2 linked regions of the Saccharomyces cerevisiae S288C genome follow. Changing the gene in region 1 together with any one later gene gives a genetic interaction. Each region holds a gene or a part of one and is shown on either strand. Other genes may lie near its edges. The genes, in order: SCW4 and GSC2.

The links.
Region 2: of SCW4 (region 1) and GSC2, changing one enhances a phenotype caused by changing the other (phenotypic enhancement), as found in Saccharomyces cerevisiae (one study listed by BioGRID).

The regions. Positions count from the first base shown.
Region 1 is NC_001139.9:1,048,191-1,051,866, reverse strand, and holds SCW4 (putative family 17 glucosidase), read left to right. Parts: upstream 1-1,908; coding exon 1,909-3,069; downstream 3,070-3,676. Other genes in the region: PXR1 (telomerase inhibitor), read left to right, coding at 142-957; U2-type spliceosomal complex subunit CWC22, read right to left, coding at 3,403-3,676. UniProt on the Saccharomyces cerevisiae protein: Glucanases possibly play a role in cell expansion during growth, in cell-cell fusion during mating, and in spore release during sporulation.
Region 2 is NC_001139.9:546,386-554,566, forward strand, and holds GSC2 (1,3-beta-glucan synthase GSC2), read left to right. Parts: upstream 1-1,878; coding exon 1,879-7,566; downstream 7,567-8,181. Other genes in the region: IMO32 (Imo32p), read left to right, coding at 56-1,084; NAG1 (Nag1p), read right to left, coding at 424-915; TIM21 (Tim21p), read right to left, coding at 7,863-8,181. UniProt on the Saccharomyces cerevisiae protein: Alternate catalytic subunit of the 1,3-beta-glucan synthase (GS) complex. Synthesizes 1,3-beta-glucan, a major structural component of the yeast cell wall. Required for spore wall assembly.

The sequences.
Region 1 (3,676 bases):
ACAACCGGGTAACAGTCAAAGAAAAAAAAAAAAAGAAAAGGAAAAAAAAAAAATATGAAAAATTTTGTTCTGAAAGAAGCGATGAGATGAGTACTCAATAGTAACATATAGGCAGCTTACACCATTAAACAAAGAAGCAGAATGGGTTTGGCAGCTACAAGAACCAAACAGCGGTTTGGTTTAGACCCCAGAAATACGGCATGGAGTAACGACACCTCGAGATTCGGGCACCAATTTCTAGAAAAGTTTGGATGGAAACCCGGTATGGGTCTGGGGTTATCCCCCATGAATTCGAACACTTCGCATATCAAAGTGTCAATTAAGGACGACAACGTTGGGCTCGGTGCTAAATTAAAACGTAAAGACAAAAAAGACGAGTTTGATAATGGTGAATGCGCAGGGTTGGATGTCTTCCAGCGAATTCTTGGTAGGCTGAACGGAAAGGAAAGCAAAATATCAGAGGAATTGGACACGCAGAGAAAGCAGAAGATTATTGACGGAAAATGGGGTATCCATTTTGTGAAGGGTGAAGTTTTAGCAAGCACGTGGGATCCAAAGACTCACAAGTTAAGAAATTACTCCAACGCGAAGAAACGAAAGAGGGAAGGAGACGATAGCGAAGATGAAGATGATGACGACAAAGAGGATAAAGACAGTGATAAAAAGAAGCACAAGAAGCACAAAAAGCATAAGAAAGACAAGAAAAAAGACAAGAAGGACAAAAAGGAGCATAAGAAACATAAAAAGGAAGAGAAGAGATTGAAGAAGGAAAAAAGGGCGGAAAAGACCAAAGAAACGAAAAAGACGTCAAAATTAAAATCTAGTGAATCTGCATCCAATATCCCCGATGCGGTAAACACAAGACTATCGGTGCGCTCCAAATGGATAAAACAAAAGAGGGCCGCGTTGATGGACTCCAAGGCACTGAATGAGATCTTTATGATAACAAACGACTAAACATTCCATTGCGTTTCATTGTGTGAGCAGCTGGCCAGTCTGCACACGCAGCAAGATATATAGAGTGGGGAAAAATTCTTCCCCGGTGCCAAAGAAAAAAGCAAATAAAAATGAAAAAAAAAAATGTGTGCCAGTACGACAGCATACCGCAACGAGTTTTTACATACATGATTAAACTAGTAAGTAATATTATAAGTATTTATTGAACTTATTGCGCCACGACTTCTGCCCCTGCAAAACCTTCAGCTTTATTAGGTGGGTTTGATGGAAGATAGTAGAGCAAGTGGAAAGCATAACATCGCTAACGTCTTCCACACCCTCCATAAAGCCGCTGCATGAATGATAAACGGGCTCAATTCGTATCAGTGTAACCAAATCCATCAATTAACGCCCAATCGAGCTCGTTAACTCCATTTTGGGAAAGAATCAAGATGCCTAGCCCGGCCTAATCGAGATGCATCCACAAACGACCCTGCACGGTCATTTCCCAGAGGGTTTTGTAATTTGTAGGCACCGCTTTTCGCGCGACACCCTGCTGCAATAGGATCTTCTCCCTAGAAACACGCGCAACGCACCTCTTTTCCCTTTTCGTTTAGCCTCTCCAAATGAGGAAAATAGGCACATGATTCCTTTTCACGCGCATTTTTTTCAGAAATTTTCTCTTGTGGTGTTGTTTCAAAAACGGCACCGTTGTTTTTGTTTTTTTTTTTCTGTTTTCTCCCATTCCTCGAGGAGAAGATCTCTGTTTTATAAAACTAATAGATATGTATTCTTTATCTTCTGTCATAATTGTTTTCTGTTTAGTAGTTCTTTTAGCCCTTATTCTATTCTTTTAATAGTGTTTACACAAAGGTCCAGCTAGATATCTAACTAAATCCAACTAAGTCATTCTTTTACATCTACAATCGTTTATATACTAGCAAGCCATACCGAAAAGCAAACTAGAAAAATATGCGTCTCTCTAACCTAATTGCTTCTGCCTCTCTTTTATCTGCTGCTACTCTTGCTGCTCCCGCTAACCACGAACACAAGGACAAGCGTGCTGTGGTCACTACCACTGTTCAAAAACAAACCACTATCATTGTTAATGGTGCCGCTTCAACTCCAGTTGCTGCTTTGGAAGAAAATGCTGTTGTCAACTCCGCTCCAGCTGCCGCTACCAGTACAACATCGTCTGCTGCTTCTGTAGCTACCGCTGCTGCTTCCTCTTCTGAGAACAACTCACAAGTTTCTGCTGCCGCATCTCCAGCCTCCAGCTCTGCTGCTACATCTACTCAATCTTCCTCTTCCTCCCAAGCTTCTTCCTCTAGTTCTTCCGGCGAAGACGTCAGCAGCTTTGCCTCTGGTGTCAGAGGTATCACTTATACCCCATACGAGTCCAGCGGTGCTTGTAAATCCGCTTCGGAAGTTGCTTCCGATTTAGCTCAATTGACTGACTTCCCAGTCATTAGATTGTACGGTACCGACTGTAACCAAGTTGAAAATGTTTTCAAGGCTAAGGCTTCGAACCAAAAAGTCTTTTTAGGTATTTACTACGTTGACCAAATCCAAGACGGTGTCAACACCATCAAGTCTGCTGTTGAATCTTACGGTTCTTGGGACGATGTCACCACTGTTTCCATTGGTAACGAATTGGTTAACGGTAACCAAGCTACCCCATCCCAAGTCGGTCAATACATTGACTCTGGTAGATCTGCCTTGAAGGCTGCCGGTTACACTGGTCCAGTTGTTTCTGTTGATACTTTTATTGCTGTGATCAACAACCCTGAATTGTGTGACTACTCCGACTACATGGCTGTTAATGCCCATGCTTACTTTGACAAGAACACAGTTGCCCAAGACTCCGGTAAATGGTTACTAGAACAAATCCAAAGAGTCTGGACTGCTTGTGATGGTAAGAAGAATGTTGTTATCACTGAGTCTGGTTGGCCATCAAAGGGTGAGACTTACGGTGTTGCTGTTCCATCTAAGGAAAATCAAAAGGACGCTGTTTCCGCCATTACCAGCTCCTGTGGTGCTGATACCTTCTTATTCACTGCCTTCAACGACTACTGGAAGGCCGACGGTGCTTACGGTGTTGAAAAATACTGGGGTATTCTATCCAATGAATAAGTCTACTCAATTGTAAAAAAAAACAAAAAAAATCTTGATTTAAAAAACGATACCCAATATTTTTAACTTTAAATTAAGGCTTTGATAATCTTCTTTTTCTCTGTTATATCAAAGGACTGCTTTCTGGTTTGCCTTCGCTAATCTTTTTTTTTTTTTTTCATTTTCCTATTTTAGTTCGTTTATGATCTCATTTGTATTTCTGTATATTTGTCTTAATACGAAATACGAGTTTTTATTTTATATTCTACCTTTCTTTTTTTTTTGGCTAAAAGCGTGTACGGTTCTATGTAAATATGTACGATTACATGTGTAATGTTTGTTTGGCCGGGCTCTTCATCTATGCCGTTGCCTTCTTGCAGGCGGAGTCCTGGATCTGTTACGATGGTTTCTCGATCCTCTTGGTGGAGTTCTGGATCTAGCACGTTTTCTTGTTTCCACTGTGAATGGCGATCTTGATCTACTATTTTCTCTGGTGTCCTTCTGTAAAAATAACCTGGATTCGTGAATTTTTGGCCCTTGGGTTGGTTGTGACTCTCTGGCCTTCTTCCGTAACTTTTCAAGTTCCTCCTCTTCTCTCAATTTTTTTTCTTCTTCCTCTGCATCCTCA
Region 2 (8,181 bases), 500 kb from region 1:
CACCCCGAGGTTTAAAAACTAACCGTGATATACGAGGAGAATTGGTAACGGTACAATGATGATACTGGGTAAAGCCGGGATCCTGGCACAGTATGGGACAATATATGTGAGACAAAATACCATTCGGAATAATTTAAGTTCCTGCATTTTTAAGCAGTCACTATGTGCCTTTCATTCATTAGCAAAGGTGCTGCAACAAAAGCAAGTCCCACTGGACCTTTCATATGACATAATCAAGAGAGATGCAGTAAAAACTGGGGATGAAGGGAAGCCAAGACCACCTATTATCATACTTCACGGCTTATTCGGTAACAAGCTCAACAACCGAAGCATTGGCCGTAACCTTAACAAGAAATTGGGAAGAGACGTGTATCTGCTGGACCTAAGAAATCATGGATCCTCACCACACAGTTCAGTCCATAACTACGAAGTCATGTCGGAAGACGTGAAACACTTTATCACAAAGCACGAATTAAACACCAATGGAGGCCCTATTATAATAGGACACTCAATGGGTGGTAAAGTTGCCATGATGCTGGTCCTGAAAAACCCGCAACTTTGTTCGATGTTAGTCTGTATAGAGAACGCTCCGGTGAGTTTGCGCCCTAACGCTGAGTTTGTCGAATACATCAAAGCGCTGATGGAAATCGTCAACGACAAGGGCAAAACTATCCGCACGCTGAAACAGGCTGATGAACACCTTGCAGAGAGGATCGGCGGCAATGAGCTAGTAAGGCGGTTTCTCCTAACGGCGCTGAAAAAGGTCAAGATGGACAATTCATCGTCTGTGTCGTCATATACATTCGAAGAACGAATTCCCCTCGCAACACTGAAAGATGCCATTGTCAAAGGTGAAATTGCCGCGTGGCCCCTAGATCCTGCTCGTGAACGATGGACGCGGCCTGCGCTATTCATCAGGGCTACTCAATCGCATTATGTGGTAGACGAGTATCTTCCGATCATCGGCGCGTTCTTTCCACGCTTTGAAACACGTGACATCGATGCGGGTCACTGGGTAAATGCGGAGAAGCCTGGGGAATGTGCCGAAAGCATCGTCGATTTTGTGGAGCGGCACGAGGATTAAAGGCAAGCGCCCCGGAGCAAGGTGCCAGTAGCACCAGTCGGTGGCTGTGCGCTTGCCGTAGCACATGACATACGGACTATTGTGTGAGTGGTGATGGGGTGTAGGCAGTGCCACACCAGTTTAAAGGCCTAGTAACGGCAAATCGCCAAAAGAGATGATGCTGATGCATACGATAAGATCGTCAGTTTCACGTTCGCGGTTCGAACATGGAATTGTGGCTAAAGAAATTTGGGCGGTATGATGCAAATGAGGTGTACGTATGTATATATAGCAAAGAGTAGAATAAAATGAGATAAAGCCTCGTTCGTTCTCTCCATTTCTTCCCTGTTTCTCCTTTATTTTCTCTACTGCTTATTTCGAGTTCACCAGAGAACAAGAGAGCAGGAACGCAAAGAGTGTGTGACACGAAATTCAAGATACAAAAATAAAAGCTTACGTTGTGTATTTCAACTGGTGTGCTAAGAATAGAGTTTCATAAAGTACTGCATTTATTCATATATTATTTTTGTTATTTGTATATATACTTCACACTTAGAGTTCTACTAAAAGTCTACCCAGCACGCATCCTTCGTTTATTTTTACATCTCTCTTTTGCTTTTCCTTTTTTTTTTTGGTGCTTGCTAGATACTACTGAAGATCAAAGGTTACAAAGAACGCCGCATATATTTTCTGCAGGCATATTAAAGAAGTTACAAAAGGATTAATCGAAGCGCTGTTTGGATACACTCCTGTAAAGAGAAGAAAAGGAAAAAAATAAAAAGTGGACAATAAATAATTATTAAACTGTCATAGTTATGTCCTACAACGATCCAAACTTGAATGGACAGTATTACAGTAACGGTGATGGGACTGGTGACGGTAATTACCCTACGTACCAAGTGACACAGGATCAAAGTGCGTACGATGAGTACGGTCAGCCAATCTATACACAAAACCAACTGGATGATGGTTATTATGATCCAAACGAACAATACGTTGACGGTACACAATTTCCTCAGGGACAAGATCCTTCACAAGACCAAGGTCCTTATAATAACGATGCTAGTTACTATAACCAACCCCCCAATATGATGAACCCGTCTTCTCAAGATGGAGAGAACTTCTCAGATTTTAGCAGCTATGGTCCCCCATCCGGCACTTATCCTAACGATCAATATACTCCTTCTCAAATGAGTTATCCTGATCAAGATGGTTCTTCAGGGGCCTCAACCCCCTATGGAAATGGTGTCGTTAATGGTAATGGCCAGTACTACGACCCTAATGCTATTGAAATGGCTTTACCAAATGATCCATATCCCGCATGGACCGCAGATCCCCAGTCTCCCCTGCCCATCGAACAAATCGAAGATATCTTCATAGATTTAACAAATAAATTCGGTTTTCAGAGAGATTCCATGAGAAATATGTTTGACCATTTTATGACCCTTTTGGACTCTAGATCTTCTAGGATGTCTCCAGAACAGGCCCTTTTATCATTACATGCAGACTACATAGGTGGAGATACGGCCAACTACAAAAAATGGTACTTTGCCGCTCAACTTGATATGGATGATGAAATTGGTTTCAGGAATATGAAGTTGGGTAAGCTATCAAGAAAGGCAAGAAAGGCTAAGAAGAAAAATAAAAAAGCCATGCAAGAGGCTAGTCCTGAAGACACTGAGGAGACTTTAAATCAAATTGAGGGTGATAACTCATTAGAAGCTGCGGATTTTAGATGGAAGTCAAAGATGAATCAACTTTCTCCATTTGAAATGGTTCGTCAAATTGCCTTGTTTTTATTATGTTGGGGCGAGGCAAATCAAGTCAGATTTACCCCGGAGTGTCTTTGTTTCATTTATAAATGCGCCTCTGATTACTTAGATTCTGCACAATGTCAACAACGTCCTGATCCCTTGCCTGAAGGTGATTTTTTGAATAGAGTTATTACTCCTCTTTATCGTTTTATTAGGAGCCAGGTTTACGAAATCGTGGATGGTCGATACGTGAAGAGTGAAAAAGATCATAACAAAGTTATTGGGTATGATGATGTCAATCAATTATTCTGGTATCCAGAAGGTATAGCAAAAATTGTCATGGAAGATGGAACCAGGTTGATTGATTTGCCAGCAGAGGAGCGTTATTTGAAATTGGGAGAAATTCCCTGGGATGATGTCTTCTTTAAAACTTACAAAGAAACACGTTCCTGGTTACATTTAGTTACCAACTTCAATCGTATTTGGATCATGCACATCTCAGTATATTGGATGTATTGTGCTTACAATGCTCCAACTTTTTATACTCACAACTATCAACAATTGGTCGACAATCAGCCTTTGGCAGCTTATAAATGGGCCACTGCAGCATTAGGTGGTACTGTGGCAAGTTTGATTCAAGTTGCCGCTACTTTGTGCGAGTGGTCATTCGTTCCTAGAAAATGGGCGGGTGCTCAACATTTGTCCCGTAGATTCTGGTTCTTGTGTGTCATTATGGGTATTAATTTGGGGCCTGTGATATTTGTTTTCGCTTATGATAAGGACACAGTATATTCTACTGCCGCTCATGTCGTTGGAGCAGTTATGTTTTTTGTTGCTGTGGCAACACTTGTTTTCTTTTCCGTAATGCCATTGGGTGGATTATTTACATCGTATATGAAAAAGTCCACAAGAAGTTATGTTGCCTCACAGACCTTCACCGCATCTTTTGCTCCATTGCATGGTTTAGACAGGTGGATGTCTTATTTGGTTTGGGTAACCGTTTTTGCTGCTAAATATGCAGAGTCATATTTTTTTCTAATACTGTCACTAAGAGATCCAATTAGGATTTTATCTACTACATCAATGAGATGTACTGGTGAATACTGGTGGGGTAATAAGATTTGTAAGGTCCAGCCAAAGATTGTTTTAGGTTTAATGATTGCGACTGACTTCATTTTGTTCTTTTTGGATACCTACTTGTGGTATATCGTTGTTAACACTGTTTTCTCGGTCGGAAAATCGTTCTATTTGGGTATTTCTATCTTAACTCCATGGAGAAATATTTTCACTAGATTGCCAAAAAGAATTTATTCTAAGATCTTGGCTACTACTGATATGGAAATAAAATATAAACCGAAAGTACTAATTTCTCAGATTTGGAATGCTATCATTATCTCCATGTACAGAGAACATTTATTAGCCATAGACCATGTACAAAAATTGTTATATCATCAGGTTCCGTCCGAAATTGAAGGTAAGAGGACTTTGAGAGCACCAACTTTCTTTGTTTCCCAAGATGACAATAATTTTGAGACTGAATTTTTCCCTAGAGATTCAGAAGCTGAGCGCCGTATTTCATTTTTTGCCCAATCTCTATCCACTCCAATTCCAGAACCACTACCAGTTGACAACATGCCAACATTTACTGTATTAACTCCCCATTACGCCGAGAGGATTCTATTATCATTGAGAGAAATTATTCGTGAAGATGATCAATTTTCAAGAGTTACTCTTTTGGAATACCTGAAGCAATTACACCCGGTAGAATGGGACTGTTTTGTTAAGGATACGAAAATTCTTGCTGAAGAAACGGCCGCATATGAAAACAATGAAGATGAACCTGAAAAGGAAGACGCTCTGAAATCTCAAATTGATGATTTACCTTTCTATTGTATTGGTTTCAAATCTGCTGCACCAGAATACACCTTACGTACGAGAATCTGGGCCTCTTTAAGGTCGCAAACTTTGTATCGCACAATCTCGGGGTTTATGAATTATTCGAGGGCCATAAAATTACTTTATCGTGTGGAAAATCCAGAAATCGTTCAAATGTTCGGTGGTAATGCTGATGGATTAGAAAGAGAACTGGAAAAAATGGCAAGGCGAAAATTCAAATTCTTGGTTTCGATGCAAAGATTGGCCAAGTTTAAACCACATGAACTAGAAAATGCTGAGTTCCTGTTGAGAGCTTATCCGGACTTGCAAATTGCCTACCTGGATGAAGAACCTCCCTTAAACGAAGGCGAAGAGCCAAGAATTTACTCGGCCTTAATTGATGGTCATTGTGAGATTTTAGAGAATGGTCGTAGACGTCCCAAATTTAGAGTTCAACTATCCGGTAATCCAATTCTTGGTGATGGTAAATCAGATAATCAAAATCATGCTTTGATTTTTTACAGAGGTGAGTATATTCAATTGATTGATGCTAATCAAGACAATTACTTGGAAGAGTGTTTGAAAATCAGGTCTGTCTTAGCAGAATTTGAAGAATTGGGAATTGAGCAAATTCATCCTTATACTCCTGGTTTAAAATATGAGGACCAATCCACAAATCATCCTGTTGCAATTGTCGGCGCTAGAGAATATATTTTCTCAGAAAACTCTGGTGTTCTTGGTGATGTAGCGGCTGGTAAAGAACAAACTTTTGGTACATTATTTGCCCGTACTTTGGCACAGATTGGTGGTAAATTGCATTATGGTCATCCAGATTTTATTAATGCGACATTCATGACTACTAGGGGTGGTGTTTCCAAAGCACAAAAGGGTCTACATTTAAATGAAGATATTTATGCCGGTATGAATGCCGTACTTCGGGGTGGTCGTATCAAGCATTGCGAATATTATCAGTGTGGTAAAGGTAGAGATTTAGGTTTTGGTACAATTTTGAATTTCACTACTAAGATCGGTGCTGGTATGGGTGAACAAATGTTATCTCGTGAATACTATTATTTGGGTACGCAATTACCTATTGACCGTTTTTTAACATTTTATTATGCGCATCCAGGGTTTCACTTGAATAACTTATTTATTCAATTGTCTCTGCAGATGTTCATGTTAACTTTAGTGAACTTGCATGCTTTGGCTCATGAATCCATTCTGTGTGTTTACGATAGGGATAAGCCAATTACTGATGTTTTGTATCCAATTGGTTGTTACAACTTTCATCCTGCGATTGATTGGGTGAGACGTTATACACTCTCTATTTTCATCGTCTTTTGGATTGCTTTTGTCCCTATTGTCGTTCAGGAATTAATCGAGCGTGGTCTGTGGAAGGCGACACAAAGATTTTTCCGTCACATTTTATCTCTATCTCCAATGTTTGAAGTCTTTGCTGGCCAAATCTATTCTTCAGCACTGTTAAGTGATATCGCTGTGGGTGGTGCTCGTTATATTTCAACAGGTCGTGGCTTTGCTACATCTCGTATACCTTTCTCTATTCTTTATTCAAGATTTGCGGGTTCAGCCATTTATATGGGATCAAGATCAATGTTGATGTTATTATTTGGTACCGTGGCACATTGGCAAGCTCCACTATTATGGTTTTGGGCATCATTATCAGCCTTAATCTTTGCACCATTCATTTTCAATCCACATCAATTTGCTTGGGAAGATTTTTTCCTAGACTACAGAGATTATATCAGATGGCTGTCAAGAGGTAATAATAAGTACCACAGGAACTCATGGATTGGTTATGTAAGAATGTCGAGGTCTCGTGTTACTGGTTTCAAGCGCAAACTGGTGGGTGATGAGTCTGAAAAATCTGCAGGCGATGCAAGCAGGGCTCATAGAACCAATTTAATTATGGCTGAAATTATACCGTGTGCGATTTACGCAGCAGGTTGTTTTATTGCCTTCACGTTTATTAATGCACAAACTGGTGTCAAGACTACTGATGAAGATAGAGTAAATTCCACCTTACGTATCATCATTTGCACCTTGGCGCCTATTGTTATCGATATTGGTGTTTTATTCTTCTGTATGGGTTTGTCATGCTGCTCTGGCCCTTTGTTGGGCATGTGCTGCAAGAAAACTGGTTCTGTTATGGCAGGGATCGCTCACGGTATCGCTGTTGTTGTCCATATTGTCTTTTTCATTGTCATGTGGGTTTTAGAGGGTTTTAGTTTTGTTAGGATGTTGATTGGCGTTGTTACATGTATACAATGTCAAAGGTTGATTTTTCACTGTATGACTGTACTGTTGCTGACCCGTGAGTTCAAGAATGATCACGCTAATACTGCCTTTTGGACAGGCAAATGGTACAGCACCGGTTTAGGATATATGGCATGGACTCAACCGACAAGGGAATTGACTGCAAAAGTCATTGAGCTTTCCGAGTTTGCAGCGGATTTTGTTTTGGGGCATGTAATTTTGATCTTCCAACTACCAGTCATTTGTATTCCAAAGATAGATAAGTTTCACTCCATCATGTTATTTTGGTTAAAACCATCCCGTCAAATCCGTCCTCCTATTTACTCTTTGAAACAAGCACGCCTACGTAAACGTATGGTTAGGAGGTATTGCAGCTTGTACTTTTTGGTACTGATCATATTCGCGGGATGCATCGTTGGCCCTGCCGTTGCTTCAGCACATGTTCCAAAAGACCTTGGATCTGGGTTGACGGGTACTTTCCATAACTTGGTTCAACCAAGGAACGTATCTAACAATGATACAGGGTCCCAGATGTCTACTTATAAGAGTCATTATTACACTCATACGCCATCCTTAAAGACCTGGTCTACGATCAAATGATTTTTTTAGTTTACAATCTATTTTTGTTTCTAAGCAAGTTTATCACGCAAATACATAAGTATATTTTTACTTTCTATTCTTCCTAGTTTATATTTATTTCATTGTAACTTTCTTAGAAGCTCGGTCCTCTCGCTATATAGTAGGATCTGCAACATATTTGGATGTGGGTGGGCGTTCTCCTTCTTTTTTAGATGTAAGGTCCAACACGTATAACAGGTGATACACATAGAAAGACACGTGGAAATAACAGTCATTTACGAATATTTAAAACCTGAGCAACTCCGTCAAATTTGATCTTAATCTTTTCTGGGGCCCCATCTAATTCCCAGAAAGCCCTTCGAATTAGAAACCGGATGCAATTTTGGCTTGATCAAATAGTAACGCTTCTCTCCGGGAACATCAACGTACATGTTGATAAAGTCAGGTTGATAATTCTGTTTGGATTCTTTAGCCTCTAAGTGAACCAACGCTATTTTCTTTTTGGATTCAACGTGGAATCTCATATAGTGATGTGTCCTACCTTCTTTATCTAATTTTTTGGTAGATACTATAGGCCTGTTTCTTGTCCATTTGTCATTCGTTATAAGCTCACCGTACGCTTTCAATCTTTCTTTT